Schizosaccharomyces pombe: one gene and its partner. The gene in region 1 interacts genetically with each later gene. Each region holds a gene or a part of one and is shown on either strand. Other genes may lie near its edges. The genes, in order: erf4 and erf2.

Region 1 (3,196 bases):
CTATTGAAAATATACATATTACCCAATAGTATCGAAAGCTTTATCTTGCTCATTTATTCATTTAATGAGACTTGAGAAAATCAGGCTTGGCAAAAGAATCGGCGATTTCTTGAGTGGAGGCGGTATCCCAGAAAATAGAATCAGCAGCCAATTCTTGCTTCAAATCATCGAGACGAAGATTAGGATCATGTTTTTGCTGAGGAAGCTCATTTCTATCAGTTTGATCCTTGTGGTAAGAAGGGAAAAGTTGTTGGTCAAATTTGTAACCAGTTTGAACAGCTGCTAAAGTTAGTAAAAACTGCTTTCATCTAAACAGGAAAAAAGGTAGAAAGGAAGTAGTTTCTATAAAAACAGTTTTCCATTAAAAGTATAAACATGAAGAAAGAGTGCTTTATAGAAATTTTTGATTAAGGTATTAATAAACAAATCCACTCATTTTTTTTTTTTAAATTTGATTCACGTACCTTTGCGACTAAATGATTGTTAGTTATTATACAAAAAGACTAAAAAAGAGTTAAATCATCAAATGCCGTGCTGCAGTACAATTGTATTATAAGTTTTCAAAAAAGTACTTAGACCTTTAAGCCCTGTCTCTTACAAAAAAAGATAGCAGAACAATCAGCATTTTGGATAATTCAACGTTTAAAAGTAAAAAATTGGATTAAACTTACACTCTGGCTCCAACATCAAAAAGAGTAGTTTGAACTAGCTGGGGAAGTTCGTCATGATCGGGAAGCTTGAACGTTTCAGACATCCTGGATAAGTAAAACAATTAAAAAGTATCAAACAGGGGGAAATTGACAAAGTATAGTTAAATATAGGTAAAGACGGAGTGGTGAATCACAAATGCTAGCAATTACCAATCGCAGAGCAATCTTTTAATTTTCAATGATTAGGTGGTAGATGGTAAGTAGTTTGGGGTTGCGATTGTAGATCATACGAATTTTCTGTGACTCGAGACAGGTAACACTTTTTCTATTGTTTACCTATGGAAAAAAAAAACAAAACAGTGTAATGCGATACATATTTCCTTTAAACAGTTATGTTATGGGTATCATGAGAAACTAAATTTTCATCTTCGTAAAGGAGGGTTCTTTTTTAATCGTCTTTCTTGGAATTTCTTCAAATCATGAATTCAACTTGCATAAATGGATAAGAAAAGTTGGTTGTAAGAATCTATAGATATATATTTAGCATGTTTCTTTTATTTAAACGAATATTCCTTTTAGAAGCGAGTAAGCTTCAAGTCGTATAGAACGCAGACGATATTAAGCCTAATAGGATCTTTAACGCTTAACTTAATAGCAAGCACAATGAGTTTTAGATAGCTGAGTACTTTAAAGCAACCTAACTTCCCTTGCAGCTAAAAAAGTTTATTGAACTTGATTTAAGACGCTCTTCTTGGACTGAGCAAGGACTTCAAAAAAGCCCGCATTCGTTGTCAAAGTTTTATCTCATCTAACGACTAAAGTAATATGAGTCAATGCTCATATAATATACAGTCGAATATTTTTTATATTTTATTACATTTATTTTCCCAAGTAGTTTTTCCAGTTCATTCTAAGTAACTTTTATCGTAGATGAAATATATCCTGTAGAGAGCTTTTATCCTCTTCCTGAACGAGCAATACGTTTTATTAATTTTCAATTCCTCAACAACTAAAACCACATCCTTTTATCAATCTTAATTTTCACTATAAATCCGTTCAAATTACCTAGTGACAAACTGTGTGGTTTTTGTTTCAAATCTGAAACTCACTCAATTAATCATAATGATTTTTTAAAATGAGTTATCATTGCCCATTTTACAGCTATTCACTCAATTAATCACTCAATTCTGACATTTAATACGTTTGTTTGTTTAGTTCCGGTTATATGATCAATCGATGAACTCATGAGTGTTTTATAATTTTTTAGTCATTTTTAACGTTGTTTAACTTATAACTTTCCTGTTTATTTATTTTTTTTCTTGTGCTCTACCGAATCCCAGTTTCATTATACATATTCTCTAATCCGTCTTCTAATATTGTACACTTGAACCTAGAGCTAGGGAATCCACCAAGCTTCATTTCAGTAGGTTTTTTCGATGCTTGTTCGCATTGAAAGGGATTATTCGGTTTCAGGAGATAAATATCCTCAATTTCCAACCGATTATCCTGTACCTCTTCGAGCTTATGTGAATCTTGAGGATTGGGATGTATTCATTCACACATTAAACGAGAAACTGAGAGAAGCCTTCTGTCCATGGTCAATTGGAAATCTATTAGATGGAATTCTATCTGTTTTAACGATTTATATCTCGGAGTTCGTATTTGGCAGTATTCATCGTAAAAGAATTGGGGCGATCGATTTGTACATCCTGGACTTTGCAACCCAACATAATTTATACGTTGCCAGCCTTCGCAATATGGGGTTTTTGAGTCTCGTTTTTCATACAAAAGAAACAAATTCGAAAAGTAGTACTCTCCATTCCAATCCGTACTGCCCGGAGCACCATTCTATACGAACACTTCCCTCTGCCGTGACTGCCACCACTTCAAATATCTCAACTTCTAGTTCTCACAGAAGTGATCTGCCAAACGAATGGACGAATTCGACCCTTTAGACGCTGTGCAACAAATTCATGTTCAAGCAAGACACCCGTAAGTCTCAATTTGCTATACAAATAAGCTGGCAGAATCAAAAGACTTAGAAAATGATTGCTACCTTTATAAACGCACAAGCAATTAATGCAAATTGTAAGAAAAAACGATGGATAGCTGCTATTAAATTTTCATGAAAAATTTTTAGCCTAATCGCCATTTGTTGGATTTCGTACTGATATATATTTTTGCTGATTTTTACTTGTTTTTCCTTTTTGCCTTGCTTTTCTTTTATTTGTATGTCATCGAATGGAAAATTTGGCTAACACTAATTTCAAGAAAGAATCGGTTGCTGTCAATTGCACACGATGCCAAGTTTGTCGACTCAGTTATAGCTTCGTACCCCACATTTAAACCTGTTGTAAATGAACGATGCGGTACGTGGTATGTCAACCGACGACATGCTCCGATTTCTGTTTATTTCAAAAGTACTGATGGTCATACCGGGCAATGGTCTTTTAGCTGTCGTCGTCTCAATTTGCATTTGCTAAATGAGATAACCACTTGTGATGGATTGATTATAGTAGATTCTACTCGTCGTGGAAAGAGAATGC
Region 2 (4,481 bases), on another chromosome or scaffold:
CATTGGATCACAGGCGCGAAAACAGATTTGATGTGATTTTTGGTTTCTGGTGCTTGTACCTTCGAAGGCTTGGAAATAGGAGCAAATAGCATGCTGAAGCCATCGATAAAGAAGAAATTTTTTTTCGTTTTAATATCCATTCCCTAATATTGGTTCAGTAGGTTAGTCATACGAATAGTTTATCATTCAACCACTTATGCAATCGTAATCCCTCTTTTTACATACCCATTTACGCATACTAATTGCATGCTCATCTAAGGTTTTACTGAATGTTAAAAAACAAGTACTTTCCTTTGCTTTCAACGCATGGTATAAATAATAATGGAACAGAAATGTGACAGGTGTTTCTCTTGTTCCCAGTAGCAAAGTTAAAGAAAAAGGCTCAGGAATGGGGCGTAAATGCTCGTGTAAAGAAGACATTAGGTTTAAGAGCCGTTTGTCATTAGTTTTATAGCCTAACTACAGTAACCAGCTTTCCGAATGGTTGTAGAGGGTGAATGGAAAACACAAGCCTGGGAACGGAGCAACATGAACCAGAGTAAGAATGAACAAGCCGGTCAGTAATGCAAAGCTAGTTCTAATATTATAGAAGTTTCAAGTATCAAATTAAAGAAGTCTAATACCAAATTATTTTCCAGAAAACTATCCTCTAAATGTGGATAAGCTATTTCATTAAAAAAAGAAAAACTATCTACCTATGGAACATTGATTTGCCTAAAAGGCAATCATAATAATAAAAAAGAACAATAAAGAGCAAATCCCAATAAATTAGACTGGAAAGGGGTTTAGCTAAAGGAGGTAAAACCATCTATCTATCATATAAGTCATAAAAACAAGCAGCATTACTTTAAAAATAAAAGAGAGCAGCCAAATTAAATATTAATAATTCCAGAGATTGGTGAGAACAAGGAATAGTTTTATAAACATTTGTTTCTGTACATTGTTCTCTGTAAAGTACAAAGGGCGAGCTGAAGGGGTCGACGACAAGGATGAAAAAAAAGAACAAAACATTATCCAGGTAAAAATTTTGAAGAGGGGAGTAATCTTTTTTATTCCGGTTATTAAAACCAAATTAATTTCGGTACTGAAAAGTAAATTGGTAAGGGGAAGATGAAAGAGTGTAGCATATATGCGTGAGCGATTTGAGCATTATTGTCTAGCAAATAAAAAATTTTTATTTCTTATTTTCTTTGTGAAGCCAAGGCATATTACACGTAAGACTTCCTAGTGGGACGAACGTAACTCACATTTTTAGGACGACAAAGGACAACCAGAAAATTGAGCCATATGCTGTCATGAAAAGGATGTACATCTTCAGTTTCTGTACTCTTTGCTCGTAAGTATTCATGAACATTCTGACCAACAGATATTAAATAGCACTGGTAACAGAAAAGGATGCCAGGAAGTATTGCTCCAAGTGCCCCATAAATGCCAAGGAAGAAAGATACGCCAGCCCATGGACGACGAAGATGCGCCGCAAAATTTGTATCTGTGGATTCATGAAAACTTCCTATAGAAGTATAGAACCCCAATCCAGTTAGATACAAAGCTGAAAGAACGACAGATAACAAAAAAATAAAATAATATCTGTAGTTTCGACGACCAATGCAAGTGTTTAACCAAATGCAGTGATGATCAAGGTATTCAACACAATTATCACATAAATGACAATGGCTTGCACGTGGAGGACGATATAAGTGGCACGTATGGCAATAAACTGTATTAACAAAGACAGAGTCAGACCGAGTGGATCCAACAAGGACTTTACGGTCTTCAGGAATTACAGACCAGGGATGGGCAGGGTTATAAGTTAAAGAATATGCATTTCTAGGAAGAATTCCTGGATCAGCAGTCGAGCACTTGAACATGGAAACAACGGCTAAGGCATACAGGTAAGCAAAGGTAATAGGGACAGCGGGAGAGACATGATGCCAGAGCCAAAAAGCAGAAAAGATGAAGAAAAGGACTCCTGGAAGAATCAAGGCAAACAAGCTAATGAGGAAAGCTTTGTACTGAGATGACATTTGCAATCGACCACAACATAAATAGATATTGTTTCCTGGTAAATTCTTATATCGGCTTTCAATATGCGGTACTTCCGGAACATCATCAGGAACGGATTGAAATCTATAAGGAATTTGGTTCTTTTCTTCCAAATTCATGGGATACGTTGGATCAGACAAAGTCACCTCAAATGGATTCCATGGCTGATTCCACGCGTAGCGGGATGCCTTAGCATCACTGTGTTTCTCATAGCTCATGATTATATTCTCTAAACAACAAACATGGCAAAGAAACAGCTATTTTTACACCTGGTATTATATCTTGTAGTTTTGTTGTCGGTAAGGATATGAACCCCTTTTGCGATGGAGGGTGAAGTAAATATTAGCATCCGCCAAAGTTTGTTTACTAAGCAAATAAAGAAATCAAAATAAATAAACAATTAGAGAATGTGACTCTAATAACTAATATTTGGAATGGCGCCTATTTAATCGATGAGAGTGTATTAAAAAGAGAAGGGAAATAAAAACAGAATATGAAATGAAATGCTAAAAAAAAAAATACTAACCGAAGAAATAAAATTAATAATAATAAATAAAGTACTTATTTTTTTTTTACGAATAAAATGTAAAAAAAATTATTTAAGAGTGCCAATATATTAGTATTTATATTTTTCAAACTTTTTATTTAAATATATTTCATCGATACTGTAATTGGAACATCCTGTCAGTACAACAATTCAGGGCTCAAAGTTAGAAAAATCAAGTTTAATAAATTATACTATCCGTGCAATTTCGGGTTTGTAAAGAAAGTGGATAATATATGGAAAAATTAGTAATATATGACTCGATAAAGACTCCAAAGACTAAGATAAAAGACCAATATCATGGGAAGTAGACTAGCTAGTAAACCATTTTCATCTTGTGTATTATGTTTTTTTTTTTTTTTTTTTTTTTTAAAATGGCTAAATAACTAGCAGGAAAATAATGGGAGGGTGTAATTGAGAAAATATTAGAAATGAAGGTACGGAAGCAACGAAAAAAGATCTTAAAAGTTTATTAGAGTGTTGCAACTATTGAAATTATGATTATCGCGAAGCTATTAATGAAAGGGCTAATTTAAAGGATCATCTCTATACTTTCACTAGCCCCGAAATAACCCAATAACCTCTATGGCTTGTAAACAAATAACTCAAGAAACACGGTATATGGTCAGTTATGGATGAAATTTTGAAGAAAAATTATTACTAATCTACATCTAAGAAAAACCATCCTGGCTTCATTCACTGTATTTAGTGGAAATGTAGTTCACAAGATTATCGAATTAGATTGTTATTCCTCAATATGCATGACTCCAAGCGGTCCTTTGGTTTTATTTCCTGTTTTAAAGGGAAATGAATTAAATTCTTATTCCTTAGAAAATCTCAATGACGCTTTTAAACGTACTTGTACATTGGACCTACTTTACTGGAGAAACATTTGCGGTCAGCAACTACTATTAAGTTACTAACCTCATGGCAGCTAAATTTTGAAAAATGACTATATTTATTTATAATGGTACGAACCATTTTTATTTGTTTGCGAAGTTTTTTAGTGTTCTCTTCTTATTATTTACAAATATAATCTTAGGAAAAGTTTAGTAAATAAGTGTCCTAACAAATTCTATAGTATAATACAAGGGTAGAGGTAGTATCTGAAAAGTATTATAAAACTGTATAAAGCAATATAAATACAAGGGCGGTTCGATCCCGATTGCAAACGCTGGAAAATCTAGAAATATTGGAAAGTTGCTTCTTTCACCACTTTAGTAGAAGGAGTTGGTGATTATTATGATATTATTATCCATTCAAATTTGAATCTCTTAATGCGCACCGTTGCTACGTCTTGTCTGCGTCAGGTGGCGATCCCCATAAATATTGATGCTTGTCATAAATGTTGCGAATGTTCGCCTACGTATTTCATTTTGACATTTACAATCATAAAAGGATTTTAGATCCTTTCCATCTCGAAACAATTAATCAAACTATTCAAGCGAACAAGAACTTTTTATTTTTGGAACCATCATGTCAATTATGCGCTCAATTATGTCGAACCGCCTGGTTCGCTGGTCAAGAGAATATCCAGAACTATTTGTAAGCTCAATTTTTTTTTGAAAAATATATTGAGTTGATTATTTCGTAAGCTGATCAGTTTGCTGTTAGATAACTTGGTGTGTCATGACTTATACCTTTGGAGTTGCTGGTTATATGCTTGGTATGTTAAAAATTAGTAGAAAATTAGAAATCAGCGCAGTTAATGAAACATTATACTCAATTTTAATATTCTGTTAAAATTTTCCTACAGAATATTTATTTTACAAGCGCATTTACATATGATTGTTTAAATTAAATGATTGTAGCTAACAGTTTTTTAGGACAGCGGGGCTTGTTGGTACAACATGAAGATCAAGTCCGAATTCCTTCAAAAAATGCTCACCCCTGG

What was found.
Region 2: of erf4 (region 1) and erf2, changing one enhances a phenotype caused by changing the other (phenotypic enhancement), as found in Schizosaccharomyces pombe (one study listed by BioGRID).

The regions. Positions count from the first base shown.
Region 1 is NC_003424.3:2,828,075-2,831,270, reverse strand, and holds erf4 (palmitoyltransferase complex subunit Erf4), read left to right. Parts: upstream 1-2,086; coding exon 2,087-2,605; downstream 2,606-3,196. Other genes in the region: spd2 (ribonucleotide reductase (RNR) inhibitor family), read right to left, coding at 62-279, 465-472, 672-754; rit1 (initiator methionine tRNA 2'-O-ribosyl phosphate transferase), read left to right, coding at 2,584-2,642, 2,922-3,196. UniProt on the Schizosaccharomyces pombe protein: The erf2-erf4 complex is a palmitoyltransferase with a major role in driving sexual development. Palmitoylates ras1. Palmitoylates isp3. Palmitoylates rho3.
Region 2 is NC_003423.3:1,865,189-1,869,669, forward strand, and holds erf2 (palmitoyltransferase Erf2), read right to left. Parts: upstream 2,345-4,481; 5' UTR 2,262-2,344; coding exon 1,209-2,261; 3' UTR 633-1,208; downstream 1-632. Other genes in the region: elongator complex subunit Elp6, read right to left, coding at 1-143, 226-420; SPOM_SPBC3H7.08C (uncharacterized protein), read left to right, coding at 4,064-4,132, 4,202-4,253, 4,414-4,481. UniProt on the Schizosaccharomyces pombe protein: The erf2-erf4 complex is a palmitoyltransferase with a major role in driving sexual development. Palmitoylates ras1. Palmitoylates isp3. Palmitoylates rho3.